3 linked regions of the Anolis sagrei genome follow. The protein of the gene in region 1 purifies or fractionates together with the protein of each later gene. This does not show direct contact. Links are inferred from orthologs where the notes say so. Each region holds a gene or a part of one and is shown in the gene's direction. Other genes may lie near its edges.

What was found. The genes of interacting proteins can lie anywhere in the genome.
Region 2: the proteins of ASF1B (region 1) and MCM6 purify together in Homo sapiens (affinity purification with mass spectrometry; 4 studies listed by BioGRID and IntAct, counting the BioPlex papers as one, with this or other methods). This does not show direct contact. The link is inferred for Anolis sagrei from reciprocal best matches to the Homo sapiens genes ASF1B and MCM6.
Region 3: the proteins of ASF1B (region 1) and CDIN1 purify together in Homo sapiens (affinity purification with mass spectrometry; 4 studies listed by BioGRID and IntAct, counting the BioPlex papers as one, with this or other methods). This does not show direct contact. The link is inferred for Anolis sagrei from reciprocal best matches to the Homo sapiens genes ASF1B and CDIN1.

Annotation. Positions count from the first base shown.
Region 1 is NC_090022.1:112,852,653-112,862,891, reverse strand, and holds the start of ASF1B (histone chaperone ASF1B), read left to right. Parts: upstream 1-5,634; 5' UTR 5,635-5,771; coding exon 5,772-5,880; intron 5,881-10,046; coding exon 10,047-10,162; intron 10,163-10,239. UniProt on the Homo sapiens protein: Histone chaperone that facilitates histone deposition and histone exchange and removal during nucleosome assembly and disassembly. Cooperates with chromatin assembly factor 1 (CAF-1) to promote replication-dependent chromatin assembly.
Region 2 is NC_090021.1:213,784,407-213,794,448, forward strand, and holds the start of MCM6 (DNA replication licensing factor MCM6), read left to right. Parts: upstream 1-5,090; 5' UTR 5,091-5,134; coding exon 5,135-5,250; intron 5,251-5,684; coding exon 5,685-5,831; intron 5,832-7,040; coding exon 7,041-7,151; intron 7,152-8,216; coding exon 8,217-8,466; intron 8,467-10,014; coding exon 10,015-10,042. UniProt on the Homo sapiens protein: Acts as a component of the MCM2-7 complex (MCM complex) which is the replicative helicase essential for 'once per cell cycle' DNA replication initiation and elongation in eukaryotic cells.
Region 3 is NC_090021.1:293,734,432-293,744,479, reverse strand, and holds the start of CDIN1 (CDAN1-interacting nuclease 1), read left to right. Parts: upstream 1-5,096; 5' UTR 5,097-5,372; coding exon 5,373-5,473; intron 5,474-10,048. UniProt on the Homo sapiens protein: Plays a role in erythroid cell differentiation.

The DNA of each region.
Region 1 (10,239 bases):
GATCTTAATCTTTGTGATAGCTCGTATAGGGAGATGTGTTTGGACAGGTACATTGGGCCAGAGCTGTTTAGGGATTTATAGGCCAAAGCTAGCACCTTGAATTGTGCTCGGTAGCAAACTGGCAGCCAGTGAATCTGACACAACATGGGAGTTGTGTGCTCCCTGTATGCTGTCCCAGTTATTAATCTGGCTGCCTCTCATTGGACTATTTGAAACTTTCATACAGTCTTCAAGGGCAACTCCACATAAAGCGCATTGCAGTAGTTTATCCCAGATGTAATAAGAGCATGGACCACCATGATGATGTCTGACTTACCAAGGTACAGGTGCAACTGGTGCACAATTTTTAATTGTGCAAAAGCTCCCCTGGCCACTGCCAAAACCTGGGATGAGTCCAGGAGTCCCAAGCTGCACATCTGCACCTTCAAGGGAAGCGTAACCCCATCCAGCACAGGCTGTAACCATATACTCTGTTCAGCCTTGTGACTGACCAGGAGGATCTATGTCTGGTCTCGATTCAACTTCAATTTGCTCACCCTCATCAAGACTGTCACAGTGGCCAATCAGGACTTGGGCCACCTCCTTAGCATCTGGTGGAAGTGAGTAATACGAGTTGGACGTCATCTGTGTACAGATGGCACCGGACTCCAAAACTCTGGATGATCTCGCCCAACGGCTTCATGTAGATGTTAAACAGCATGGGGGATAATACCGAGCCCTGCGGGACACCACAGGACAATGGCTTCCCTCCAGGAAGGACCGGAGCCACTGCAGAACATTTCCCCCCTAGACCCATCCCTGCGAGGCAACTCAGAAAGATACCATGGTCTACTGTATCAAAGGGCAACCCCAGGAGAACCAACAGGGGCATACTCTCTGTCAAGCTCTCTACGGAGATCATCCTCTAAGGTGACCATGGCTGTCTCAGTTCCATGACCTGGTCTGAAGCCAGACTGCGATGAATCCAAATGGTCAATTTCATCCAAGAACAAAGACCTGATCTGTACCTTTCATTCTCAAATCCCTACACTAAGATGTGGGAGCAAAGGGCAGAAGGCAACAAATACCTCACTGAAGTATGACATGCCAAACAATTAATTCCTTTTCTCATCAATAGCCTTTTAGTTGATAGAGATGTCTAGAATCAGTCTTGAACTTATCCTAATTGAGGGTAGAATATGAGATTTAAGTAACTGGCAAAGTCACACCATCGTAGCAGATTAGAAGTAAATCACTGAATACTTGAACACAAGTTTAGAACAAGCTACTGATCTTATTAAACAGTCTTTAATCCTTCAGGGCTGAATCTCATGAAAATCTTCATGTTCTAACCCATTGAAATTAATGGGCTTAGACATGCTCAGTTTTCAGGCATCAAGGACTTTCCAATCTCATCTCTATATGAACATGTTTATCCCCCATATAATGAAGAATGATGGAAACTGCAGTTGAACAACCACTGGAAGGCCACATATTCCTCACCCTGATCTGCATCTAATCTAACATTCTAGGAGAGGTTTATCACAGTATAATGCATGCTCACAAGAAGAAACACAAGTGTAGCTTGTACAAACATTGGTTAGAAATTTTTAAAAGCCAGCATGACCTGTTCAGGGACATCTCATCTCATGATGAGGAGCAGATGTCATCAAAGGTGAAGCGGCAATATTTTCAAGTTGATTTGAATATGAAATTGGATGAAGCTCATCCTTCAAAGGTTTATGAGGCAATGCCTTGCTGCCTTTGATACCAGTCCACACTTCTGAATTGGAATCCACAATACAGGGATACCTGTGTGTGCTACTGCTGCATGTTCAGGAGAGCACAAACCAATTAAATTCAATGCTGGTCATGTTTAGAGCCCATCTGGAGTAGTGACTGGAGCTTTGGTCTACAACTCTGGAGATAGGTATTTGAATCCTCACTTTGCAGCTAGGTGACTTTCGGCATGTCATATTCTGTCATGCTCAGAGAAAGGCAAAGGTAACCTCCCTCTGAATAAATCTTACAGAGAAAACCCCATGATAGGGTTGCCTTACGGTTGCCATTAGCCAGAAAATACTTGAAGGCACACAACAATGTATTTCATTCTACAGCAACATGCTTTCTTTTCACAGACCACATTTCTTCTGAATCAAGTCTAAAGACCTTCCAAACAATCCTGAAATTCAACCAAATTTTATGTAGAATGCACAAACAATATATGCCCAACCAATTATTTAACATTAGGTTTATCAGTAAAGCAAGAATTGTGACATTCCTGTGCACCTGTAGCCCACAGCCACACTGCAGTTTAAAAGGTTGGCTTTAGTTTTGTATTTCTTTAAAAGGAAATCTGATTGCTTTTAAAAACAATCTGACCAACAGAACTGTAACCTTCTCATCCATCTCTGAAAATGAACTGTTGGCTCTCCCACAGAAGTGATGAACCTTCAGTTACAGGGCTGAAGGCCCATCCTGTTTAGATATCAGCCAGCATGCCAATGACTTAAATCAAGAAACAGCTTCCTAAGATCTAAAGATACTCACAGGAACACCTCAGCAAACTAGAGTCCAAAAGTGGTAGGCTAAAACCCAGAACCTCAAATCAGTGGCTGATACCAGATGAGAAACTCCCTCCTGGACACACAGAAGGCTGGGTGACAAGCTGTGCTCTGGCACCACAAGATGCAGAGCCAACCTTAAGAAACGGAGCTACAAAAAGTGGAGTCCACGGCATGCAAGAATGGAGAAGGTCCTCTACATGCACAACGGACGACCTTCTTACAGCGACAAAAGAGGCACTTAAGTGGTCAGCTTCTGGTTAAAGGAAATTTAACATAATGCCAAGTTTTTAACTTTGTGTTTTTTTATACATGATAACTGTAGTCTCAATTTGTTTCTGATATGATAAATAGTTGCAGGGCTCCTCCAACTAGTCAAAGGTTTCCCTCCATGACAGGTTGCACATCCCTTCAAAATCCCAGACACTGAAATCCAAAATTGTGGAATCAGCAGAGGAAGAAGCAAGTTCAATGTGATTACATGTGAAGTCTTGGAACTGGGTTGAGGCCTGGACATTGCCTATACGTATTGCAGAGGCTGGCTTTGACCTGGTTTGAGGATCTGCAGCTTCACAGCAGTGGGGGGAAACAGGTGTTTTTGTTTCCCAGCACCCCAAGACACATGTGGAGTGCCTGCCCCTTAAACGGTTTTCCCATGTGCTGCTTTGCATTAAGAGCTCCAGTTCGGAGTATCCCCAGCTTTGTTTATTCCTGTTTAGAGCCCTTAATGCACATTTCTGCGCATCTTTGAGGCATACATCATTTAAACACAACACTCTCAAGGTGCCTTGGAACTGCATTAAATGCTCAGTGTAGATGTGCCCCATGAGTGAACCGGGATTTTCACCCTTTCAGCCTCTTCTTACTGAATCCTACCCCAACTCAAACCACGATATCACACTAGCTCCTTCTGTTGTAGATATGGATAGTATCTACATCTATATGTATAAAAGTCAATGCATATATGCATGTTTGTTTATTTGTACCACAAAGGCTGTTGCTAGGTGAATTGTCCTCTGCGATGTCACTGAAATAACTGTTGCTAAGTGAAGGCGGCCTGTGTATGAGTGGAAAGGAGGGAAATAGAAAGAAAAAGAAGGGAAGGAAGAGAAAGGAAAGTGGGAAAGTATGAGATGAGGGGAGGAAAGAAAAAGAAGGGATGAAGAAGGGGAGCAATAGCCCCACTGACATTTAGGCAATGCAAGTATTTATATACAGTCATGCTGGCCACATGACCTATGGACAACACCGGCTTTTCGGCTTAGAAATGGAGATGAGCACTACCCCCCAGGGTCGGACACGACTAGATTTAATGTCAGGGGAAACCTTTACCCTTTACTTATATGAAACCAAATCTCCTTATGTGATCTTGCAGCTTCTGCCAAGCCAATGGTTCTGAAGCATTCACCTTCAGTCAGATCTCAGCTCCCAGAAGCCCCAGCCTGTTTGGCCAATTCTGGGAGCTGAAATCCAAAACATCTGGAAGTCCAGTTTGGGACATAGTGTGCCCAAGGGTGCTCAGTATACTGCCTTCACTGCCATGGCTTAATACTATGGAATCGTGGGAATTCAAGTTTTATAAGGTATATAATAACAATAATAATAGTAATAATTTGACAAAGAAAAAACATGTGGCTCACAAGTGGAACTTTGAAAAAGGAGATGGAGGGCCTGATTCTGGCAGTCCAAGAACAAGCCATTCGAACCAATGCCATCAAAGCCGGAATTGAAAAGTCGACAACAGAGCCCAAATGTAGACTCTGCAAGGAAGCAGATGAAACAACAGATCACATCCTCAGCTGCTGCAAGAAGATCGCACAGACAGACTACAAGCAGAGGCATAACACCATTGCTCAGGTGATTCCTTGGAACTTGTGCCACAAATACCATCTGCCTGTGACAAAGAACTGGTGGGATCACAAGCCGGAAAAAGTTACAGAGAATGAACACGTCAAACTCCTCTGGGACTTCCGAATTCAGACAGACAGTTTTGGAGCACAATACTCCTGACTTCACGATTGTGTTAAAAAACAAAGTGTCGATTGTTGATGTTGCAATCCCAGTGACAGCAGGATTGAAGAGAAACAACTGGAAAAGCTGAACGATATGAGGATTTAAAGATCAAACTGCAAAGACTCTGGCATAAGCCAGTCAAGGTGGTCCCAGTGGTGATCAGCACATTGAGTGCAGTGCCTAAAGACCTTGGCCTGCACTTAAACACAATCGGCACTGACAAAATTACCATCTTCCAGCTGCAGAAGGCCACCTTACTGGGACTTGCACGCATTATTTGCCGATACATCACACAGTCCTAGACACTTGGAAAGTGTCCGTGTGATCCAATTCAACAGCCAGCAGAGTGATCTTGTCTGCTGTGGACTCATCTTGTTGTGTTTCAAATAATAATAATAATTATTATTATTTATCTGCCTCAATAAATTCAAAAACAAATGAACATGAAAATACATAGATTAAAACACACACACTCACATATATCATTCTCATCCAAAATGTTGGGGCCTCACCAAAGCACAAACCCCGTGGTTTCATAGCACTGAGCCATAGAGGTTAAAGTGGAGTCCAACTGCGTTAATTCTACAGTATAGATGTACCCAGTCTGAGAACGCTCTTTCACCCATTCTGTGATATCTTTTATCCCTTGGCGAACGGAAACCGAGCGCCAGATGAACTGCTGGGAGCCCAAACTCCCCTGCTCCCTTTGCCTTTGGCAAGGCTATCGGGTTTCTCCTGTTAACAGAAGGGCCTGGCGATGACGTGGAACCCGCTGGCCCTCTAGTCCGCTTTCCATTGGCTGCCGCTTCTTCGGGCGCGCGGAAGGAGGCGGCAGAGCGCGCGCTGATTGGCGGTTGGGCGGCCGGAGACTGACTGGCGCGCGGAGAGGACAAGGAGGGAGGAGGGCGCAAGCGTTGATTGTTTAGGTTTAGCTCCCGCCAGGGACAAAACCCAGGCGGCGGATTGGTGGAGGGAAGAGTGGGCGTGGCCCCGCGGGAAGAGTAGGCGGATGAACTCAGGCGCGAAGCAAGCCGATTGGCGGAGGCGGTCGGAGTGCCTTGCGGGGATTGGCGGCGGGGTCTATCTGTCACTCAGCCGGTGGCGCGCGGAGTATGTGTGTGAGTGGTTGGCGGGGGCGAGGGCGGCAAGGCAGCGGTTGGAGCTCCGAGAAGGAAAGGAAGGAGCAAGGCGGCTGTGGGTGCTGCTGCTGCTGCGATGGCGCGGGTGTCGGTCCTGGGAGTGTCGCTGCTGGAGAACCCGAGCCCCTTCGGCCACCCGCTCCGCTTCCAGGTGCAGTTCGAGTGCGGAGAGGCGCTGCCCCACGGTGAGTGCCCCCAGCCCCGCCAACCGCCCTGCCCTCCCCCCCCCCTCTCTCCCCGCTAAGACTTTGCCAAACTGCCTCTTGCTGAGAAAACCACGAGCTCGGCACTCAGGCCCCGTCTACATTGACGATTTAAATTCAGTTTCGAACCAGTATGGAAGAAAGTGGTTACTCCTGGGTTCAGTTTGAGGCCCAGATGGTGACCACAGAGCACTGGAGCACATCAAGGGCTTTTTTTCGCGCTCTTTTTGTGGGAGTTTGTTGTTTGGCCGCTGCAGTTTGGAACTGCATTAAATGGTTAGTGTGGATGAGGCCTGCCTTGAGTGGTAGGATGAAGGCGCGTGCACACATCCAGAACCACCCTGCAGGCCCCAAAAGGCCTCCTACGAAGGTGGGGTGGCGTAGCATAGAGAAGTTTCTGCAAGGGGAAAGGCCCTGCTGCCACACTGCATTGTTATAGCACTATTATTAATTGCCATGGCATCTTATAGGATCCTGGGGTTTGTAGTCTAGTGAGGCCCAAGAGCTCTCTGGCTGAGAATTCCCAATGCCCCTCATTAAACTGCAAATCCCATGATTACATAGGATGCTGCCATTGCAGTTAAAGTGGAAGAATCTCCTTATCACTGTGTAGCGTGATAGGGCCCAAATACATCTTTTTTTCCTTGAGAAAATGCAATTGGCCACCTGCAAGGACATTGCCCAGGGGACACCTAGAGCTTTTATTTGTTATTTATTTATTTACGATATTTCTATCCCACCTTTCTCAAGCCCGAAGGCAACTCAAAATGGCTTACAAATTGGCAGCAATTTGATGCCATAACAATTCACAAGATACAATAAAAAGCATTTATTTTTCAAAAAATTTTATTTGAGAAGAGAAAATACAGTTATACAGACATATACTATACATTTCCCCCTCTTTTTACATTCACCCCATTAAAAACATAATAACCAATGTCTTCATATTAATCACATTTTCCTAATGATGTAGTTCAGGCCTGCACAACCAGGTTTTACAATCCTGTGGGTGGCTTCTTGCATGAGAAGTTGCAGCTGATAGGAGCTCATCCCGCTCCCCAGATTTGAACTGCCAACCTTGCGGTCAGCAGTCCTGTTGGCACACCATTGTGCCACCAGGGGCTTGGCCCAGAGACTGAACAGAAGGTGGCTCTTTAGTATAGCTCAGTGCCACATAAACTGTTGCTCCCAGCCCTAAATGGAGTCCCCTTTGCTCAATGCTGGAGTCACAAAAAATTGGCCATGGTAAGAGTTTTCTGAAAACCACCCATTTACAAAAATCTGTTAGCAACAACAAGCAGTGTTTACAGTGGACTCTGCAGAAAATGTCTCAGCTTGTACTCCACAAAAAAGGGAAATTAGCTTGTTTAGCAAACCCTGCAAATGTTGACTTGTTATCTGTAAATGTTTCATTTTTATACCTATTTTATACACCCATATGCCTGGGGTCACATAAACAAACAAGTGGAAAAGCACACAGGACATAGCACACAGGACATGGTAGTTGTAAGGATAAAAATGAAGGAGAGGACCATGTGCACCCATTTAGGGGAGAAAAAGTGAAAAGGAAGTAATCTGGAATCTACACCCATGAAGCCAGCCACTCTGTCCAAAGAAGGCTATAACTCTCTTAATGAGACACAAAGTGGCAGAATATGGTACCATTCCCTGGCACATTTGATGAGAAAATTGCTAATAATTCACACCCGATCAGCTGATGTGATTAACTGGTAGTTTCTGACTCAAAATGTGCCAGGGAATGGTATCATATTAATGATCACTGGCTACAGTTGTTTCATTCCTGGAAGCTCACCAGGGACTGGCATTGGTGTATAGGCCACCACGTTGACTAGTGTTGAGTAGAATACCTATACTCTGCCCTTGGCCATGCTGCATCTTTGCAGAGAACATGTTAAATGCCCTTCTCTCCTTATAAACAGCAGCTGTGTTCGCTGTTATTATAACAAGAGAGGTTTTGTTAACTGGTAAAAGTGGTGAATGTTGACCATATATAATAATAAAACTTTATTTCAAGACCACCTTCTCTCCTTGAAGGGACTCAGGGCAGTTTACACACACAGAAAAAAAGGCAAACATTCAGTGCCCAAAACAACACAAACACGTCAACAATGATCATTCTTTAAAATAGGAGGGACTATTGCAGTTTTTAATAGTACTTGGCTTCTCACTGTGCACATTTGGTTTCTTCAATTTTTGCTATTTCCGGAGGGGTAGGTGCATTAGCAATAAAAGTCATTTGGTACCTCAAATACTAACATCCTTATTATTGCATATGTTTTTCACCAACACTGGCCATTTCATGATATATATTATATGTGAGCCCTAATATACTTGCGCTTGGGGTAAGTTGTATTCAGTGGAATTGAAATGAAAATAAATCTGCCCATTTTCAATACGTGGATTTTCTTTTTAAAAATACTTATAGCGGCCTACATAATTTGAAAGGGTTTGAATTTGAATCTGGACAGAGAAATTGAAAATCAAATTCCTTCTGAACTTCTGTTCTCTAGCATACCCTATATAAAAAACTGGGCCAGCTTATCACTGGTCAGTGTGAGTATTGGACCTTAACTCTTATTTTAAAATAAGAACCCTTCTCCTCTCTCAGTGGTAAAGTGGCAAAAGGCATGAATTTAGTCCGACCTAAAAGCAGCAGCAACCCCCTCCACTCCCTCTTGACATGGTGCTGCTTCTGGCCTTTTTGGATGCCTGGACAAGGACATGCCAGTATGCCCCCCTGAAGTAGCATTGCTGCTTTCTCCCCCTCATGGAATGATCCCCACAAGTCATATTAAAATCCAGAATTCTGGGAGGTAGACTAGAATTCATTTAGGGCTTTTGACTATTTTGGTCTTTTATCTGGTCTTGGAAGCTGGGGCAGACTGAGCAGGGATAGTAGGGGGGGATCATTATTATTATCAGTGTTGTAGTAGAAAGATCTGGGCTGACCCCTTTCAGGATAGTCCAGGTCCTTTTCCTAAATATTCATAAATGGTGAGCAATTTATAAATGGTGCCATGTTTAGGGTGCCTTGGTACTGTTGTCTATGCTCTAAAACAAAAATACAACATGTCTGTAAACATTCTTGAAAACAAACACATATTGCAAAGTTGAGATTCCATTCAGGTTGCTACGTTTCTTTGTTACTTTTCGTCATTCTTCCTTTTCTCCAGTGTCCCTTTTGACTCCCCTTGTTTTTGGTGTTAAAACATGATACGCTTCATTTTGCCTACTTGTGACCCCTGATGTTTAGATATACTGTACATACATTCTTGTAACTAGCAGTATCACATGTGAGAAGCATTAACCTTCACTGCTACACCGGTGGTCTATTATAGCAGATTGCACACAGTGTTTCCTGACTTTTGCCTAATGAGATGATCCATAAAGGCTGAAGGCAGGCATAATATTTAAAGAGAAACTGCAGCAGATTCTTTACCCCTGTTGAGATCCGGGCTTCCTCCCGCTTTGTAATTTGCATGATAGATGTATACTTGTTCTAGCTGAACTCAGGGTTAACTGTCAGTCTTGTTCCTCCTCCATGCTTCAGGCAACTTGCCTGGAGTTCTTTTTTTAAAAAAATCTGAGAGCTTCACATGCATATTTATTTGATGTTTGTCCACATTTAAAAAATGGAAACACTCCTTTAAAGGCTCCAAAAGTGCTCTAAGGATTAGGAAAAGAGTCTTGGTGATGTGATGGACATGGGTCAATTAGAGTTTGTCTCGCTTTTGCAGTAAACTCTCAGACAGCTCTCCTTGTGTCCAACTTCCCTAAAGAAAATGGGTTTCACAAAATTGATTGTTAATTAACTCAGCTACTCTATGATAGTTGCATCTGTTGAAGGGGACTTTCCTCTCCCTGCCCAGGCTTGGTGAAATGCAATTATGTCTACCAGAAGTTACAACGCATCGGAAATTAGAAGAGCTGACAGTTGCTTATTCTTACATCCTCGGCCTAGCTCTTGAACATTCTGCAAGCATGTGTATATATAGTTCTTCAAACACTGACATTAACTCAATTTTTCCTTAGTGTATTGCCTTCTGAGGATGGGGATAAATATGTTTCCCACAGAGATCGAAGATTATAGTACCTACGGTTCTGCTGACTACATTTTTATCTTTCAGACTTGGAGTGGAAGATCATCTATGTGGGTTCTGCAGAGAGTGAGGAATATGACCAAGTTCTTGACTCAGTGTTGGTGGGACCTGTTCCAGCTGGGAGACATATGTTTTTGTTTGAAGTAAGCTATCAACTATATTTTGGAGAAAGGAGAGGAAAGTCCAAAAGAGTGGATGGTGGGAAGAGAGGAGAATAAGG
Region 2 (10,042 bases), on another chromosome or scaffold:
TATCACTTGAGTGACCAGCCTTACTGATGCAGGGCTGATGAAGGTAAAATCAAATTATACCTCAGTTGTGCTATTTGGCCTTCTCAAAAGAGGAGGGGGATATAAATGTGACTAAGAATAATTCAATTAGGTTTCTATAGTTCCATATATTACTAAAGTGATCATATTTTTTGCTTGGTTGGCTTCATTAGAAAGCAATATAACTATCGTATATGGTGAGTGAGCGTGGGACAAAGCAAAAGAATATTGGAGATGGATACAAAATTGGCAACAAGAGATATTTAAAATCAGATTACAATTAGATCCAACATTATTTTTACTGGGGCTTCCAAACAAATGAACAAAAACCATGAAGTAGCGCATATTACAGAACCAGCAGAAATGAACAAGTTATCTTGCTCAATTAAGGAGAAGTCAGCTGATGTCTTTTTAAAAGAGTGGGAACATTTCTATTATTCATAAAGAAAAAGGGGAGTTTTGAAGATTGAAAAAATAAGGTAGAATGAAGAAAGTGTCTAAAATGATAGATTGACAGGATTGTAACTTTTTTTTTCATTGTGTGGGAAGTGGGAAGTCTATTTTAATATTTTATTATTAGTTTTGTTATTATTACTTTGTAATGGGGCAGGTGGGCAAAATTAGTTTAAATTTATATAGCTCTATAAATGCTGAAAAAATAAAATAAACTGATAGATTAAAAGAAGACAGCAATATGCTGTAACTCAAAGCTTGAATGCTCAAGTACATGATTCTATCCCTGACATTTTCCTAAAGCTTTCATTTTGTCAATTTGGAGAAAAGAGCTCATGTGCCCCACAGAAGAACTTCAAAAAGCTAAAGTATGAAAATAGTTTGAAATACACGTGTGTTGCACTCCAGGCATGGAAACACCTATGACCACCGCGCCACACAAAAGTCCAGGAATATAAGCAAACAGTTTATTGTAAAACACATAAAAGCATATAAAAAGCAGGAATAAGAAAGGAAGATATATAATCCCAAAAGGTTTAGCAACAGGTGATAACCAAACAATAATCCAAATGTCTCATACAGTTCCAGAGGTGACAAAGTCCAGGAACAGCCAGTAATCACAGGTACAGTGTGAAGTCCACAAGCAAGAAGGTATAGCTAGTAAAAACTTGCACAGGAGTACATGAACAGGAACATAGAAAACTTCCAGGATATATTAAATCCAAAACCAAGAGTTAACTTGAACCAGGGAAGTCAGGCTTAGCTTCTCACTCTAACGCAGTGTTGCCTGAACTGCCCTTAAGGTAAACAACTTGTTTAATAGACACCCATAAAAGTGTCACATCCCCTGTAAATTTTCTCTACAACTTTCCCATGTAATCTCTCTGAACGACACAATCTATTTTTGGCTCTGATTTGTAAACAAAAACTTTTGTTGATCCCCATAGCTACAGGTGGTTTCTCCTGGAAACCCTCCTTATCATTCAGCTCTTCACTCAGTTCCTTATCTACTGATGCTACTTCTGGCTCTCCTGACTGGCTTTGTGGCCCTGCACTTTCCGAGCCAGTTTCCTCACAAAGAGAACCATCATTTCCCAGACTTGAGGGCCTATCACTTTGTGCCACAAGAAAGCTAACAATCCCCTCTAAATCATCAGTCCCTGGCTGATCTACAACAATGGGTTCTTTTAAAAAAATGCAACCCTATACACAACTGCTATTAACTTATTTAGGCCTAGACATGTATTACTGTGGGTTTCCTTATTTACCCCACTTGGACTTTCCTGCCCATCCTTTGTTGATTTCGGTTATATTTCAGATTAATATCCTTGCAGCAAGCTCCTGGTACCTTGAAAAACATCATTACATACTGATGCCACTCTTTAAAATGTCATTATATGTTCATTTATCTAGGAAGCTTGTCCTAGCTAGTATGAACATATGATATTATATAGTGAATAACTTACACAATGACTGAGCTGACTTTGCTCTCATTTGATCTCCTTTCTTTCTCCTATTAAAATCCCCATTTCCGTGCCCATCTGTTAATATTTTAGGAAAAAACCATTCTTGGGATCTTTTACAACAAAAGCATATTTCATTTATGTTCAACAAAGTAGATTATTTTTACTCTAACAAGCAACCTCCACAGTCTGACCCTACAAGTCCAGCTCTTTGGCTACTTTCACCCATCCTAATCGTTTAGCTTTTAGACCCCTCTCTATATACTCTGGACCCCAATATATACTAGCCAAGTTGTGTGGTAAATGCTGGCAAGGTGTGACGGAATCACATTAATTCAGAGAGAGAGAGAGAGAGAAGGAGATGTATAAAATTATATTTAATATATAATAAGTTAAACATCTAAAATAGACTGGCTTCCCAATCCACACATCCTATTGTGATATGAGAATTAAAATTCTGGTCTCCAGAGTCATAGTCCACCTCTAGCCACTGCTCTACGCTGTCACTCTATTTTATTTCACAGAGAAATTATGCATATTCTTTTTATTGCCTGTCCTAAATAGTAGGTATTTCCTGAGACATGAGGCCTTGATACAAAATGTGACAATAGGTGGCTGTATGTTTAGAGCCATGTCATTCTGATTTTCAGTGGCCACTGCTGTTAATTAAAAATCCTGAGGCAAGAGCTGGTGTGTGCAAATTGTAGAGACTTCGGAAGAGCTATCTGATCAAATGCTATTTAATATTTTGTGACAGAACTCTGTTACAGTTTTATTATACCTTGAAATAAAGGTGGAAGGAAACAAAAGTGTAGAAATTAAGGTCTGAAAAACCACGTGCTTAAGAAATCAGCTTAGCCAACAGACCAGCTGTGAATACTAAACCTTGACATAATCCCAGAAAAAAATAGAATTACTCTTGTTCTTAGTTGTGTTTAGGTTTACTAAGTGGATTATAAGCAGCTGATTACCACAGATTTATTTCTCTTAAATTCAGTTTCCAGGAAGAATGGTTTGTTCAGCTAATCCAACTGGAATCAATCAAATTCAATTACCTTTCCCCATACAGAGCTGGTAATATCGCTGGATAATAATCTTTTTTTTATTTCTGAATGCTTCATCCCAATAAAGTCATTGACTTTTATGCTGAAAGGCTTTTTGGAAAGTCATGATGCAGAACAAAATAATGTTATCGCAAAATTCTTGTCTTGTGTCTATTACTTTGTCACACAGAAGGGACAAATTCTACAAAGCAATATCTTTGTTACTTATACCAACTCTTGCAAAGGTGATAGACAGCCTGTACAAATGGTTCAAGAAGGGTGGTCCTTTCAGTAGGAACCTTTAAGTTGGACCATATTATTGGCTGCAATCCCCATTTGGTGAAACAATATACAGTTATGACAACATCAGATTGCAGTGGTGATATCATTTCACACCTGGCTACAGGGAAATGCTTCTGTAGTTTTCCAATGTCAGTGCTGCAAAAAAAATCTTGAAAATTAAAGATAAGGAAAAAGGGGGCCAGGTTGCCCTCGCCCATAAAAAAGACCATCATAGTTAAAGATTTTTGTTATATCTTAGTTAACAAAAATAATTAACAATGAAGATCTTTTTATGGAGGAAGGCAACCTGGCCACATTTTTCCTTGTCTTTAATTGGCAAGCTTTTTTTTTTTTTTTGGCAGCATTGACATTGGAAAACTACAGAAGCATTTCCCTGTAGCCAGATATGAAATGATAATATCTGCACTGCGATCTGATGTTGTCATAATTTTATATTGTTCAGCCAAATGGGGATTGCAGCCAAAAATATGGTCCAACTTAAAGGTTCCTACTGAAAGCAAAATGAAGCTACTCCATAATTTGCACAACCCTCTTTATGGATCAGGTTGTGGCGCAGCTGGTTGGGAGTCAGCTACATTAAAATCACTACTGGTCATGAGGTCAAGACCAGCCCGGGTAGAAGTAAGCTCCTGACCATTTGTCTAGCTTGCTGTTGACCTTTGCAGACTGAAAGACATTTGCATCTTTCAAGTAGGAAGTTTAGGTGCCGCTTATGCGGGGAGGGTAGTTTAACTAATTTACGATGCCATAAAAAATCTCCAGCAGCATGCAAATGAATAAGGAAGTACTCCATCGGTGTCACAAGTAGACAGTGAAGCGACAACTCCCCTGATAGCCGGAATTCGAAGCATACCCTGATGGAGCTGGAAAGTTAAATAGCCTCTGTGCGTCTGTCACCCCTTCGGGGTCAGAAGGGCGGGGTAGAAGTAAACCAAATAATAAATATGTTGTGTGTCTATGGCATTGAATGTTTGCCATGTATATGTGCATTGCGATCCGCCCTGAGTCCCTGCGGGGTGAAAAGGGCAGGAGCCCCCGGTGGCGCAGTGGGTTAAAGAGCTGAGCTGCTGAGCTTGTTGACTGAAAGGTCACAGGTTCAAACCCGGGAGCGGCGTGAGCTTCCGCTATTAGCCCCAGCTCCTGCCAACCTAGCAGTTTGAAAACATGCAAATGTGAGTAGATGAATAGATACCACTCTGGCAGGAAGGTAACAGTGCTCCATGCAGTCATGCTGGCCACATGACCTTGGAGGTGTCTATGGACAACGCTAGCTCTTCGGCTTAGAAATGGAGATGAGCACCACACCCCAGAGTTGGACACGACTGGACTTCCATGTCAGGGGAAACCTTTACCTACTGTAAATAAATAAATATGGGTTGTTATAGGTTTTTCGGGCTATGTGGCCATGTTCTAGAAGCATCCTCTCCTGACGTTTCGCCTGCATCTATGGCAAGCATCTTCAGATAAAATAAAATAAAAATGCTACACATTTGAGGCATAACAGGCCAGGAGGATTAAGTCAAGGGTTTTAATCTGCCTTTTTTGGTCAACCAGAAGCTAGCAGTTCGAAAGCAGCAATGTAGATCAATTGGAGGAGAGGTAAAAGGCGCCCGTGAAGACAGCACCATTCCCCCACCGTCTCCAATTCTTGTCCTCCGGCTTTGGGGAGGCCCCTTTAAGAAGAACGTCCACAGCCACCCCTCTTCTCTCCGCTTCCTGTTTCCTCTGGTTTGGCGCGAAAAAGTTGCCGGCGTAACATTCGAAAGGGGCGGGGCACCAGGCGCGGAGGCTTCTGATTGGGCGCGGCGCGGGTTGGTGGCGCGAAATCCCTTCCATTCTCCTGGTATTGGCGTGATGGACTTGGCGGCTGCAGGAGAGGCTGGTGCGGCGGCGGGCAACGCGGCGCTCAAGCAGATCCGCGATGAGGTGGCCGAGAAGTGCCAGAAGCTCTTCCAGGACTTCCTCGAGGAGTGAGTGGGCCCTCCCTGGTTTGGGGATCCTGGGAGCTGCAGTCCTCCAGTGCCTCTACCCCAGGTTTGGGCCAACTTGGGCCTTCCAGGTGTTTTGGACTTCCACTCCCACCATTCCTAACAGCCTCAGGCCCTTTCCTTTCCCCCCTCAGCCGCTTAAGCGGCTGAGGGGGGAAAGGAAGGGGCCTGAGGCTGTTAGGAATGGTGGGAGTGGAAGTCCAAAACACCTGGAAGGCCCAAGTTTGCCCAGGCCTGGGGTAGAGGCACCCCTAGTCTATGCTAGTTTGCTAGCATTCATTAAGCATTAGAGCTGCCTCAGTTGTCTGAATGGATCAGTTTCCCCCATTAATGCTTTGTTGTTTTTTCTTCTATACTTGCATTACATCTTGAAAATGTTTTTGCAAAGCTCTTCCCTGAAACACTGCCTTTTTCAGGTTCCAGGACAGTGATGGCGGAGTTAAATACTTGAGAGATGCCGAGGAGTTGATCCGCCCAGAGAGAAACACATTAATTGTAAGCTTTCAGGACCTGGAGCAGGCTAATCAGCAGCTTGCGACCACCATCCAGGAGGAGTTCTACAGGTGAGACTGTCCCAACTTCTTTATTGACCTGCTTTTTGTGTTATCACTAACTTTATCCAAGGTGTTAAGGAACTTGAAGTTAGTAATAGGTTTGTATCTGTGGGAGATACGTTACTGGACTTCTCATGGGAAAAAGCAAACACTACTGAAATGAACTACTTCTGTTGGATGTTGCCATAGAGTCATGCTGGAGGACAGAGGCCCCTTCCACACAGCTGAATAAAATCACACATTTTCCGCTTTGAACAGGAATATATGGCAGTGTAGACTCAGATAACCCAATTCAAAGCAGATATTGTGGGACTTTCTGGCTTGATATATATATATGGCTGTATGGAAGGGCCACAAGTATCAAGTGAGACTGTGGCAAAAAAAAAAAAAAAACAGAATCACCTAAAGCATTTCCTATAGAGGACATATTTTGGCAATGAAAAAAATCCCTTTTAATATTTTTTGCTTCCTTAAAGCAACTTTATGAGATTTTTTTTATTCTGATAAGTGAAATGTCAACTAATCAGGATTTTAAAAAAACAACAAAAAAACTTTGATTTCAGCACATTTTGTTCCAAAAACATGATGTAAAAATAAGATATAAACTATTTATTTATTTATCTCGTTATTTACTTGCAGTATTTATATTCTGCCCTTCTCACCCCGCAGGGGACTCTGGGCGGATATACATGGCAAACATTCAATGCCATAGACACACAACATATATAGACAGACACACAGAGGCTATATAACATTCCAGCTTTTTTCATGAGGGTATTCTGGCCACCACGGGAGCTGTTGCTTCAGGGTCCATTTGTGACACTGATGAAGTACTTCCTCATTCTTTGCATGCTTTGCATGGAGTCGTAAATTAGCCTCCCGCATAAGCGGTACCTAAATTTCCTACTTGACAGATGCAACTGTATTTCAGGCTGCAAAGGTTGACAGCAACCTACAAAATTTGTTGGAAGCTCACTCCGACTCGGGCTGGCTTCAGACTCATGACCTTTTGGTCAGTAGTGATCTTAATGCAGCTGACTCCCAGCCAGCTGTGCCACAGTCCCACCACAGTTCTTTTGAAGTCAAATACATTTGTTGGCTTGCTCATTTAAACTTTGCTAATAAGGTACACTCCCATGCACTTTGATGCCTTTTGAAGAAATTCTTAAGTCTAAAGCCAGAAAAGTTTGTATCACTAAAATCTTGCTTTCGTTTCAGAGTCTATCCTTACTTATGTCGAGCTGTAAGGACATTTGCCAGAGACCACGGAAATGTCCCTCCCAACAAGGACTTCTATGTGGCTTTTCAAGACCTGCCTTCTAGGCACAAGTAAGCATCTCTGAAGATAGTGAGCATGAAGTGTGGTTTCTATTGGGAAGATAAAAGTATTCAGCTTGGCAAGAAGATCCATTGTGAATGCTGGATCACAGTTCAAGGCCTCTGAACATATAGGGCACCAGAGCAGATTGTCCTATTGCTTTAGCTATGTGTGAGGTTTTTTTGTATAGCCTCTCTCTTGTTTATTAATTTTCATGAGTGCTGAGGGTTTTTTTGTTTGTTTTTTGTACATCTTATCTCTTATGTATCCTCCTGTATATTAGCTCCTCTTTTATGGTGGCATGGTTAATTCAAAAGGAGTGATGCCACCTCACGAAACTTTGGGGGCATAATTTCTTTTTTTATGGACAATGCTGGCTCTTCTGCTTAGAAATGGAGATGAGTACCACCCCCCAGATTTGGACTCGACTAGACTTAACGTCAAGGGGAAACTTTTACCTTTATCTTTATATATTCTTTGCCTAGTATTTTAGGGTTAGGTTAAGATCATATAACATTTTAAACTGAAAATATGTGACGACCATATAAGGTTCATAAATGTTTTCTCGTTACTGTGTATGTGAGTGAGAATATAAATGAAAGTCAACAACTCATGTTCTTTGGAACATTGGAACCATCACAGAGCAAAATTTTGTAGGTGTCATCAGGGGCATCTACACTGTAAAATTAGTACAATTTGACACCACTGTAACTGCCACAGTGCAATGCAATGGAACCATGGGAGTTGTAGTTTCCTGAGACAATCTTTGGCAGAGAAAAAAATCATATAAAACTACAACTCTCAGGACTCTATAGCACTGAGTCAGGGCAGTTCAAGTGGTGTCATACTGCATTATTTATTTCTTTTCTTTTTTTGTAGATGCACTTACAAATAATATTATCCACCAATGTAAGCACAGAAGATACCTTCTCATTCATAGCTAAAGAAAAATTATACTTGCCAAACATAACTGTCTGTAGGAAGCAATAGGTTGTAGTGGAGCTTGTAATCACTATGTGATATATGTGTCTGGCTTGTGGAGGAAAACATTCAAGATGGCTTTATTCTCTCAACAGAATCCGAGAAATGACATCGGCTCGCATTGGCTCACTGATGTGTATTAGCGGGCAGGTGGTTCGCACCCACCCTGTCCACCCGGAGCTGGTAAGTGGGACCTTCCTGTGCCTGGATTGCCAAACAGTGATCAAAGATGTGGAGCAACAGTTCAAGTACACACAGCCCAACATCTGCAGAAACCCCGTCTGTGCCAATAGGAAGCGATTCCTTCTAGACACCAACAAGTCACGATTCGTTGACTTTCAAAAGGTAATTGAATAACAATTCATTTTCACCTAGTTTTTCTGAAGTTGACTTACTATTGTGGAAGTGTGATGTAGCATCTGGGTTGGCTTTTCAGGAAGCAATGGAGTAGATATAATGGCAAGCCTTTGTTTGGTGTGATAGTAACTAGTTTTTAAGAATGCCAAGACTTCGGTACATGTCGCTCTTTGTCTCCTCTTATTCTTTGTAAGAAGCAAATTACAGGTTGCTATTTTATTTTACCACCATAGAAGCCATGTTCTGTGCTTGCCATGCACATCACGATTCGAATTCAGGGTTGAAAAACAGTTTTCAGTTCAGTGCAAATACCAAGCTGAGTTTTCTCATTTTGAGAAAAAAACAGACAATTAGAATCATGTTAAACAGCAAAAACCGCTAAAGACTATCTTGTAGGCTTCCTGATCTAACAAACCCAGATTCAAATTAAAATCCCCATTCAACTATGAAAGTTACTGATTGGTGGTTTTGATTTTCTTTTTTTGCAAGTGGCGAAACATTCATTTAAAAATAAAATACGTGTTGATAGCTTTGGTAACGTACTGCCATAACAACAGTCTGCTTTAGACTTGAAAATGTTTTGTTTGCTTAATTCAAGTAAATTAGATTGAGACAGAGTGAGAGTTTTTCTGCTATTAAGAGCAATTTTCTGTGGTGAACATGGTTTAAATTGATCTATTTTTACAGCACCATGTGAAAGACTGTGCACACAGTGTGCCATGTAAACATAGACAGTATTACTCACAGGACAGTGGGATCAATAGTTACCCAGAGAGATGTTGAGGCAACCTGGTGTTTTACCTGTAGGAATTAATCAATCTTTAAATGTAATCAATCTTTAAATGTACCTTACACAAATCATATATTCATGTATTTATAAGATCACAGATATAGAACATACATTTATCTACTTTTAAAGAAGAAAACTGCCAACAAAGAGCTATTTTTAGCACAAGTGATAGAGCACTATTATTTTTTTTCCACACAAGAAATCTTTACCTGACCCATTGAATATAGATATATAAAATACCAAAATTAAACATGTACTGATAATAAATCAGCATGTGTAAGGCATGCTAAACAGGTTGATTTTTTTAATGAAGTACAGCTGAAGCATTTTCTGCAAAGTCCAGTGTAAATATTGCACAACAGATTAGTGAAAATAAGTGGTGTTCAGAAACTGTTGCCATTTTGGAGGGATCTTTTCACTGTGAAGTGAGCTTCCTTTGGTGTTTTGGTTTTTTTTTTTGTCTTTTCTATTGCAGCCTCAGTCTCTCTCCTTTTTCCCCACAAAGGTACCTGCTAACATGACAGAAACAATATTCTTTTTGACAGTGCTCCCCATGAGATTTGCCCTTTCTTTAGGAGAAGCTAAAATGCTTGCAAAGGTCAACATGGCCCCCTGTGTATTGGCTTCTTTTTGCTTTATGTATTTGATCGATATTAGACAAGGTGCCATATGTTTTGGTCTCAGAACTATTGGGTTGAATTTTGCCCTTTTCAGGTTCTGTATCCCTTTCTTCCCTCTCTTACCAGGTTCGTATTCAGGAAACCCAGGCCGAAC
Region 3 (10,048 bases), on another chromosome or scaffold:
AGCATACACAAAGCTTGGCCTGTCACTGAACATCGAGAAAACCAAAGTGCTGTTCCAGCAGTCACCAGCCGCCCCCTCTCCAATGCCAGAGATACAGCTTAATGGTGTAACATTAGAAAATGTCGACCATTTCCGCTACCTTGGCAGCCACCTCTCCACCAAAGTCAACATCGACGCCGAAATACAACACCGCCTGAGCTCTGCAAGTGCAGCATTTTCCCGAATGAAGCAGAGAGTGTTTGAGGACCGGGACATCCGTAGGGATACTAAGGTGCTTGTCTATAAAGCTATTGTCCTCCCAACCCTGCTATATGCCTGTGAGACGTGGACTGTCTACAGACGTCACATGCAGCTCCTGGAACAATTCCATCAGCGCTGCCTCCGGAAAATCCTGCAAATCTCCTGGGAAGACAAGCGGACAAACGTCAGCGTGCTGGAGGAAGCAAAGACCACCAGCATTGAAGCAATGGTCCTCCAACATCAACTCCGCTGGACAGGCCACGTTGTCCGGATGCCTGACCACCGTCTCCCAAAGCAGTTGCTCTACTCCGAACTCAAGAACGGAAAACGGAATGTTGGTGGACAGGAAAAGAGATTTAAAGATGGGCTCAAAGCCAACCTTAAAAACTCTGGCATAGACACTGAGAACTGGGAGGCCCTGGCCCTTGAGCGCTCCAGCTGGAGGTCAGCTGTGACCAGCAGTGCTGCAGAATTCGAGGAGGCACGAGTGGAGGGTGAAAGAGAGAAACGTGCCAGGAGGAAGGCGCGTCAAGCCAACCCCGACCGGGACCGCCTTCCACCTGGAAACCAATGCCCTCACTGCGGAAGAAGATGCAGAGCAAGAATAGGGCTCCACAGCCACATGCGGACCCACAAGGAAACCCATGATGGAAGACCATCTTACTCGTCCAACGAGGGATCGCCTAAATACTCTCCCATAAAATAACTTGTTTTATATCATGCGCTCAACAGACAAAAATGAAGTAGACTTGGATAAAAAATAGCTTATTTGGTATACTCACAACCTTCATGTGTTCAGCATACACACGTACAAAACTTATCAATCCACCTTCAGATATGCTTGAGATAATTCTATGTGCCACCTGGCCAGGACATCTCTTACAGCAAAATAGCAAACAAGTGTGTGATCTGAGGTCTGAAGTAGTCTGTAATCAACTATAGTATGCATGGGCAAACTTTCTAACTTGGGGACCTTGTGGCAGGCTAGAGTGGGGTGGGCAGGGCAGGAAGGAGGGGGCTTGGAGGCAGAAAGTGAAGGAAAGACAGGAAACATTTGGATCCCAAAAGGGTTGGTACTGGTCAGGATGAGATGGTGGATGGGCGAGAAAAAGTGTATCTGGCGGGAACGAGAGACAGGACCTTCTCTGTGGTGGCCCCCTGGCTGTGGAACTCCCTGCCCCCTTCACATCGGCCCCCTTCCTCCTAACCTTTCAAAAAAAAAAAAAACTGAAAACTTGGCTCTTCAAGCAAGCTTTTGGAGCTTCAGCTTAATTAGATAAACTTGAATTGGAAAACGACCTAGGAATGGCTAAGACGACGGAACAAATGAGGACGGAGCATGATGACATAGTTTAAACATTTTTATTGTTCAATGTTTTGATGTTTTTAGATACATTGTAATGTGATGTTTTAATTTTATTGATGTATGTATTTTATATATGACAGCGAATTGTGCCGATTGTTCGCCGCCCTGAGTCGCCCTTGGGTTGATATGGGTGGGGTAAAAATGATGTAAATAAAATAAATATCTATTAGACCCCGTATTGCCTATTCATGATATAGAATCACAGAAGCCTAGAATTGGAAGAGACCGCCAAGGGCCATCCAGTCTAACCCCCTGCCCATGCCGGAAGACACATCAAAGAACTCCCAATAGACTTATGCGGAAAAGCTTCCAGAGAAGAAGATTCCACCACACTCTGAGGCAGCCTATGCCACTCTCCAGGAAGTTCTTCCTAATCTTTTCAGGCGAATTTCTTTCCCTGCCATTTGAACCCTTTGCTCCCTTGTGTCCTGGTCTCTAGACAGCAACAGAAAATTAGTTTTCCCCTCCTCCTCTTCCTTAATGGTTCGCAGATTATCTGTTGCTCTCTACCTTCTCCCAGCTAAACATCCCCCAGAAAGAAAGGAGAAAGGAAAAAGAGAAAAAAAAAGGAGGAAGAGAAGGATGGAAGGAAGGATGGGTGGAAGGGAATGGAGGGAGAGAGGAGGTGGAGAGGAGTAAGGAAAGACAAATGGGAATGAAGGAAAGCAGGAAGAAGAAAGAGGGAGAGAGGGAAGGAGGGAGGAAAGAGAGAAGGAAGGACAAAAGGGTGGAAAGAAGGAAAGGAGGGAGGAAAGGGAAGGAAGGACGAAAGGGTGGAAGGGAATGGAGGGAGAAAGAGGGAGGGAAGGCAGAGAGGAAGAAAGGAGAAGGAAGGGAGGGAGGGAGGGAGGGAGGAAAGAAGGAAAGAAGGAAAGAGAAGGAAGGAATGACAAAAGGGTGGAAGGGAATGGAAAGAGAAAGAGGAAAGGGAGAGAGGGAGGAAAGAGAAGACAAAAAGGAAGGAAAGAGAAAGGGTGGAAGTGAATGAAGGATGGAAAGAGGAAGAGGGATGTAAGGGAGGGCAGGAAGGAGAGAAGGAAAGAAGGATAGGATGGTGAGAGAGAGGAAGCCCTGGGAAGAGTCCAAGGGGCTGCTTCTGCTAACCAGGGCTAGGTTTGCCCATTCCTGTGCTATAGTGATCATTTGGTCTGCAGCCCCTTTTGTAACTTCTCGTGAACTATAGAGTAAAAAAAGGAATCTGCATACCAGAACATATATACAGGAAGCAATAAGCAACAGGATCATAGCTAAACATTGCTCGAGAAGACTTGAAGAAGGTTGTAATTTCTAACAAAGCCATGGATGGTTGAATCTGTGGGTGTAAAATCTGTGGATATAGAAGATTGGCTGCATTTTCCAGCTCAAGTTCCTCTGCATTGTTTCCATCCTCCGTCACTTTCTTTGCAATCATGATGATTCTTTAAAAAAAACACACAGTTAAGGAGCCCCCGGTGGCACAGTGGGTAAACCACTGAGCTGTTGAACTTGCTAACCGAAAGGTTGCAGGTTCAAATCCAAGGAGTGGCATGAGTTTCCACTGTTAGCCCCAGCTGCCAACTTAGCAGTTCAAAAACATGCAAATGTGAGTAGATCAATAGGTACCGTTCTAGCGGAAAGGTAATGGCGCTCCATGCAGTCATGCCAACCACATGATCTTGGAGGTGTCTACAGACAACACCGGCTCTTTGGCTTAGAAATGGAGATGAGCACACCACCCTACCCCAAGAGTCGGACATGACGAGACTTAATGTCAGGGGAAAACCTTTACTTTTACCTTTAAGAAGTAGAGAGAAGGCAAAGGGGGTCTGGGAAAACATAACAACAATTTGCTCAAAAGGAACTCTTTGGGATGACTTCCGAGTACTTCTGCACTGTAGAATTAATTAATTGCTGGACTGAGGCGCAGCTAGTTAGTAGCCAGCTGCATTAAATCACTACTGACCATTAAATCACTACTGCAACTGTCTTCCGGGCTGCATAGGTCAACAGCAAACTAGACTATTAATGGTCAGGAGCTTACTCTAACCTGGGCTGGTTTCAAAATCATGACCAAAGCCAGCCCCGGTTGGAGTAAGCCCCTGACTATTAAGAGTCTAGTTTGCTGTTGACCTATGCAGCCTGAAAGACAGTTGCATCTGTCAAGTACGAAATTTAGGTCCGCTTTATGCAGGGAGGCTAATTTAACTAATTTACGACACCATAAAACCTTCCAGCAGTGTGAAGAAGAATGAGGAAGTACTCCATCAAAGGACTCGGTGTCACAAGCGGGTGCTGAAGCGGCAGCTCCCTCTGTGGCCGGAATCGAGCATACCCTCATGAAGCCGGAAAAGCTGGAATGTTAAGTGCCTCTGTGTCTGTCTATATATGTTGGCATTGAATGTTTGCATTGGTATCTGCCCTGAGTCCCCTGCAGGGTGAGAAGGGCGGAATATAAATACTTTAAATAAATAAATAAATAAAGCACCTTGATGCCACTTTGCCACAGCGCAGCACTAATTCTGGCCTTCTCTGCCAAAGAGTGTTTGCTGGTGCCTCACCAAACAACTCCCAGGACTTCAGTGGGTGTAGATCAGGCATGGTCAAACTTGGGCCTTCTAGGTATTTTGGACTTCAACTCCCACCATTCCTAACAACGTCAGGCCTCTTCCTCCCCCCCCCCCCATGCCTGGCTGTTATGAATGGTGGGAGTTGCAGTCCAAAATACCTGGAAGGCCCAAGTTTGACCATGCATGGCTACGGGGAATGGTGGGAGTCTCAGTCCAAAATACCGGGAAGGCCCAAGTTAGCCCATGCTTGGCTGTTGGGAATGGTGGGAGTTGCAGTCCAAAATACCTGGAAGGCCCAAGTTGTCCCATGCCTGGCTGTTAGGAATGGTGGGAGTTGCAGTCCAAAACACCTGGAAGGCCCAAGTTGGCCCATGCCTGGTTGTTGGGAATGGTGGGAGTTGCAGTCCAAAACACCTGGAAAGCCCAAGTTGGCCCATGCCTGGCTGTTAGGAATGGTGGGAGTTGCAGTCCAAAACACCTGGAAGGCCCAAGTTGGCCCATGCCTGGCTGTTGGGAATGGTGGGAGTTGCAGTCCAAAACACCTGGAAGGCCCAAGTTGGCCCATGCTTGGCTGTTGGGAACGGTGGGAGTTGCAGTCCAAAACACCTGGAAGGCCCAAGTTGGCTTGGCTGTTGGGAACGGTGGGAGTTGCAGTCCAAAACACCTGGAAGGCCCAAGTTGGCCCATGCTTGGCTGTTGGGAACGGTGGGAGTTGCAGTTCAAAACACCTGGAAGGCCCAAGTTGGCCCATGCCTGGCTGTTAGGAATGGTGGGAGTTGCAGTCCAACTGGAGAAAGAGAAACTGGAGCTGGGACAGTCCCGTAGCAAGAGGGGAGGAGGACACTTTGGGTTGCTGAAGGAAGCGAGGCGAAAAGCCCGCCCCCGCCATTCCTTTCCATTCATTCCAGTTGAGAGAGACTTTTCCCGCCCAAAGCGTCGCTTTCGTTTCCTCCGCGACGGCGAAGGCGGAGCCGCCGAGCAGCGCATGAGCGGCGCTGGTTTCTGCCCTTCTGCGGGCGGGAAGCCGAGAGCCAAGGCCCTTTTTCGAAACAGGCATGTCTTGGCTGCCTAGGCTTTGCCCCGCTCCTTAGGCCGAGCCATCGAGGGCTGTATGCCGGGAAGCAAGCAGCGGGGGAAGGGAAGAAAGTAGTCCTTGTCTGCCCTTTGGTGCTTCCCTGTGTGCTGCGCTCTGCTTGTGGGAGGCAGGCAGGCAGGCAGGCATGCCGCTGAGCAAAGCCCAGTACGGAGAGGTGGCCCTCTTCCTGGCCCAGGTGGCCCCCACCAGGCAGAGCCTGAAGCAGCTGAAGGCCCGCTTCCCCAGGTGAGTGGGCCGCGGTGGTGGCTCCGCCCCTTTCTGCTCCCCGCCCCCTTTCTCGCTCTCCCTCCTTCCTTCCAGGAAGAGGCCCAGACAGCTGCTTTCGAGGGTGGAGGGGGCCTGCTTTGGTGTGTCTGGCTATCACGAAGTGAGTGCAATTCAAGGCCTAGGATGCAGAAGAGACGGCGAATAGGACAAGGAAAGGGGTGCATCTGCACAGTAGAATCCATGCAGTTGGACTCCACTTTGAACTGCCTGGGATTTGTAGTTTGGTGGGGCACAAGCATTCTTCGGCAAGGATCTTGTAAAACTACAACTTCAAGGGAGGAGGGAGGGGAGCACAGTGGTATTTATTTTATTTATCGTGTCATCAGCAACCAGACCATTGTGTTACATTTCTAACAGAAAAAAACAAACAAACAGATTAAAAAAAAACAAAACAAAAAAACCCCAAAAACACCAAATTTTGCAAACTTGGTAGTTGGTTAAATGTCCTTTGACCAGTATCTGGCCACTTGGAGTGCCTCTGGTGTTGCTGCAAGAAGGTCCTCCATCATGCACGTGGCAGGGCTCAGGTTGCATTACAGCAGGTGGTCAGTGGTTTGCTCTTCTCCACACTTGCATGTCATGGATTCAACTTTGTAGCCCCATTTCTTGAGATTGGCTCTGCATCTCGTGATGCCAGAGCGTAGTATGTTCAGCGCCTTCCAAGTCGCCCAATCCTCTGTGTGCCCAGGGGGGAGTCTCTCATCTGGTATCACCCACGGATTGAGGTGCTGGGTTTGGGCCTGCCACTTTTGGACTCTCGCTTGCTGAGGTGTTCCAGCGTGTGTCTCTGTAGATCTAAGAAAACTATGTCTTGATTTAAGTCGTTGACGTGCTGGCTGATACCCAAACAAGAGATGAGCTGGAGATGTCACTGCCTTGGTCCTTTCACTATTGGCTGCTACTTCCCGGCGGATGTCAGGTGGTGCAATACCGGCTAAGCAGTGCAATTTCTCCAGTGGTGTAGGGCGCAGACACCCTGTGGTAATGCGGCATGTCTCATTAAGAGTCACATCCACTGTGTGTTCCACACTGGGCATGTGTACTCAGCAGCAGAGTAGCATAGCGCAAGGGCAAATGTCTTCACTGTGTATGGTTGTGATCCCCAGTTTGTGCTAGTCAGCTTTCGTATGTTTTGTTTCTAGCGCCCACTTTTTGCTTAATGTTCAGACAGTGCTTCTTGTGGTGAGAGATAGATAATACGTATAAGCATAAAAATAACCAGTAGATGCCAAAAGTTAAATTATGGTAGGCTGTATTGAATACTATGTATCTGCTGTAAAATAAACAATGCATAACAAAGAAACCCCCACAACTTCAAGGATCTTGTAAAACTACAACTTCCACAGGCAGCTAAAGCTATTATATAACATATAATAAATCTAGAATAAATATAATGTAAAGTATGGGGAGCCCCCGGTGGCGCAGTGGGTTAAAACGCTGAGCTGCTGAGCTTGTAGACCGAAAGGTCATAGGTTCGAATCCAGGGAGCAGCGTGAGCTTCCGCTATCAGCCCCAGTTTCTGCGAACCTAGCAGTTCGAAAACATGCAAATGTGAGTAGATCAATAGGTACTGCTCCAGCAGGAAGGTAATGGCACTCCATGCAGTCATGCCGACCACATGACCTTGGAGATGTCTACGGACAACCTTTACCTAATATAAAGTATAATACTAATAGTATAATATACTTGTAGTGTACTTGTAGTGTACTTATAATATACTTGTAGTATATAATATACTACCGGTAATAGTATGATAGCTGGGTCTGGAAGCTCCGATCATTACTGAGATGCCACATCACTCCTTCGAGAGCGCTGTTTGCGCAAGAGAGACTCAGCTAATGTAAGCCAGGCTGGAGACAGATAATATAGAAGGAATGTAAGAGTTCTTTAATGGTGAAACCCTAACCTTGAACTGTACCATAAGCCTAAACCCTTACCCTAAACCAGAGATCCTCAAACTAAGGCCCGAGGGCCGGATACGGCCCTCCAAAGTCATTTACGCGGCCCTTGCTCAGGGTCAACCTAAGTCTGAAACGACTTGAAAGCACACAACAACAACAATCCTATATCATGAGCCAAAAGCAGGCCACACTTCCCATACGGCCCTCCAAGGTCATTTACCCAGCCCTCAGTCAGGGTCAACCTAAATCTGAAATGATTTGAAAGCACACAACAACAACAATCCTATCTCATCAGCCAAAAGCAGGCCCACACTTCCTACTGAAATACTAATAAGTTTATATTTGTTAAAATTGTTCTTCATTTTAATTATTGTATTGTTTTTAATTGTTACTGTACTACAAATAAGATATTTGCAGTGTGCATAGGAATTAGTTCTTTTTTCCCCCCAAATTATAATCTGGCCCTCCAACAGTTTGAGGGACTGTGACCTGGCCCTCTGTTTAAAAAGTTTGAGGACCCCTGGTATAGACAATACACAGACAGACAGAACAGAACAGAACAGAAGGAGGTGGTTTGTTTCAGCTGTTTTTGGTGCCACAGAAGGTTGGGCTTGAGTCCAGGGGGTGCTATTGCTTTATCCTGATTGACGAAGAGCCGTCAGGACTTCCTCCTTCCTTTTGGTCACCCAGCATTTTCTGATCTTCTTTCTTTATGGTGTCGTACAACACCTCCTCCACTTTTAGTGGTACCTAATTTCTCTAATCACAGCTAAAGCTGTTTTTGACTTGCTTAGGTAAACAATGAGCTATGCTAACAGTTGGCAGCTTACGCCAACTCGGGGCTTCAAACTTGCAACCTTTTGGTGATCTATCTTATAATTGCTGATGATTTACCAGCTGTGCTAAACCTCCAGCCCAGGATGTTGTAAAACTACAGCTTCCATAGGCAGCTAAAGCTAATAGTATAATACGAATAGTATAATATACTGGTAGTGTGTTATACTACTGTAACAGTCTGATAGCTGGGTCCGAAAGCTCCGAGCATTACAGAGATGCCGCATCGCTCCTTCATAGAATCATATAGCTGGAAGAGACCTCGTGGGCCATCCAGTCCAACCCCATGCCAAGAAGCAGGAAAATTGCCTTCGAAGTACCCCCAACAGATGGTCATCAAGCCTCTGTTTAAAAGCTTCCAAAGAAAAAGCCTCTACCACACTCCGGGGCAGAGAGTTCCACTGCTGAACAGCTCTCACAGTTAGGAAGTTCTTCCTAATGTTCAGATGGAATCTTCTTTCTTGTAGTTTGAAGCCATTGTTCTGCGTCCTAGTCTCCAGGGCAGCAGAAAACAAGCTTGCTCCCTCCTCCCCATGACTTCCTCTCACATATTTATACATGGCTACCATGTCTCCTCTCAGCCTTCTCTTCTTCAGGCTAACATGCCCTCTCTTTAAGCCACTCCTCATAGGGCTTGTTCTCCAGACCCTTGATCATTTTCGTTGCCCTCCTCTGGACACATTCCAGCTTGTCAATATCTCTCTTCATTTGTGGTGCTCAGAATTGGACACAATATTCCAAGTGTGGTCTATCCAAGGCAGAATAGAGGGGTAGTGTGACCTCCCTCGATCTAGACACTATGCTCCTATTGATACAGGCCAAAATCCCATTGGCTTTTTTTGCTGCTGCGTCACATTGTTGGCTCATGTTTAACTTGCTGTCCACAAGGACCCCAAGATCTTTTTCACACGTACTGTTCTCGAGCCATGCGTCTCCATTCTGTTTCTTTGCATTTCATTTTTCTGCCTAAATGGAGTATCTTGCATTGTCTTGTAAAACTACAACTTCAAGGATCTTGTAAAACTACAACTTCCATAGCCAGGAAAGCTAATAGTATAATACTAATAGTATAATATACTGGTAGTGTGTTAATACTACCGGTAATAGTATGATAGCTGGGTCTGGAAGCTCCGAGCATTATGGAGATGCCACATAGCTCCTAAGCGAGACTACTGTAATACAATATAATAATTTATAATAATAGTATTGTAATATAATAATACTAATATATTAAATATAATACTACTGATAATATATAATATATAATTATATATATATTTATTGCATATTTGTATATTTTAAGTTGTAATGTTTATGATTGTGAGCCACTTTGAGAGAGAACATGGGATATAAATAAATATAAATAAAGCGGTGTCAAGCTGCATTCATTTGACTGTAGATCAGGCATGGATAAACTTTGACCTTCCAGGGGTTTTGAACTTCAACTAGGCTGTTAGAAATTATGGGGATTGAGGTCCAAAACATCTGGAGGGCCAAAGTTTGTCTATGCCTGCTGTCGGACGCCTGTGGGGGAGGGGATCAATTGAACTAAGTAAGGCTTCATTCTGGTTCATAGATCTGTTGAAAAAAAAATCGAGAAAGTGCATGTCCTTGGAAATGTGGAAAGAGGGAACCTTTGGTTCATAGGCATTTTTTCTTGTTATTACACGAGACTATCTGGCCCTGTCTATGCTGGGCATTTAATGTAGTTTAATGCATATATCTGTGCATACATAGGAAATCTTGGAGCCAGTTTGAGGCCCGGATGGTGATGACAGAAAGCCCTGATGTACAGCAA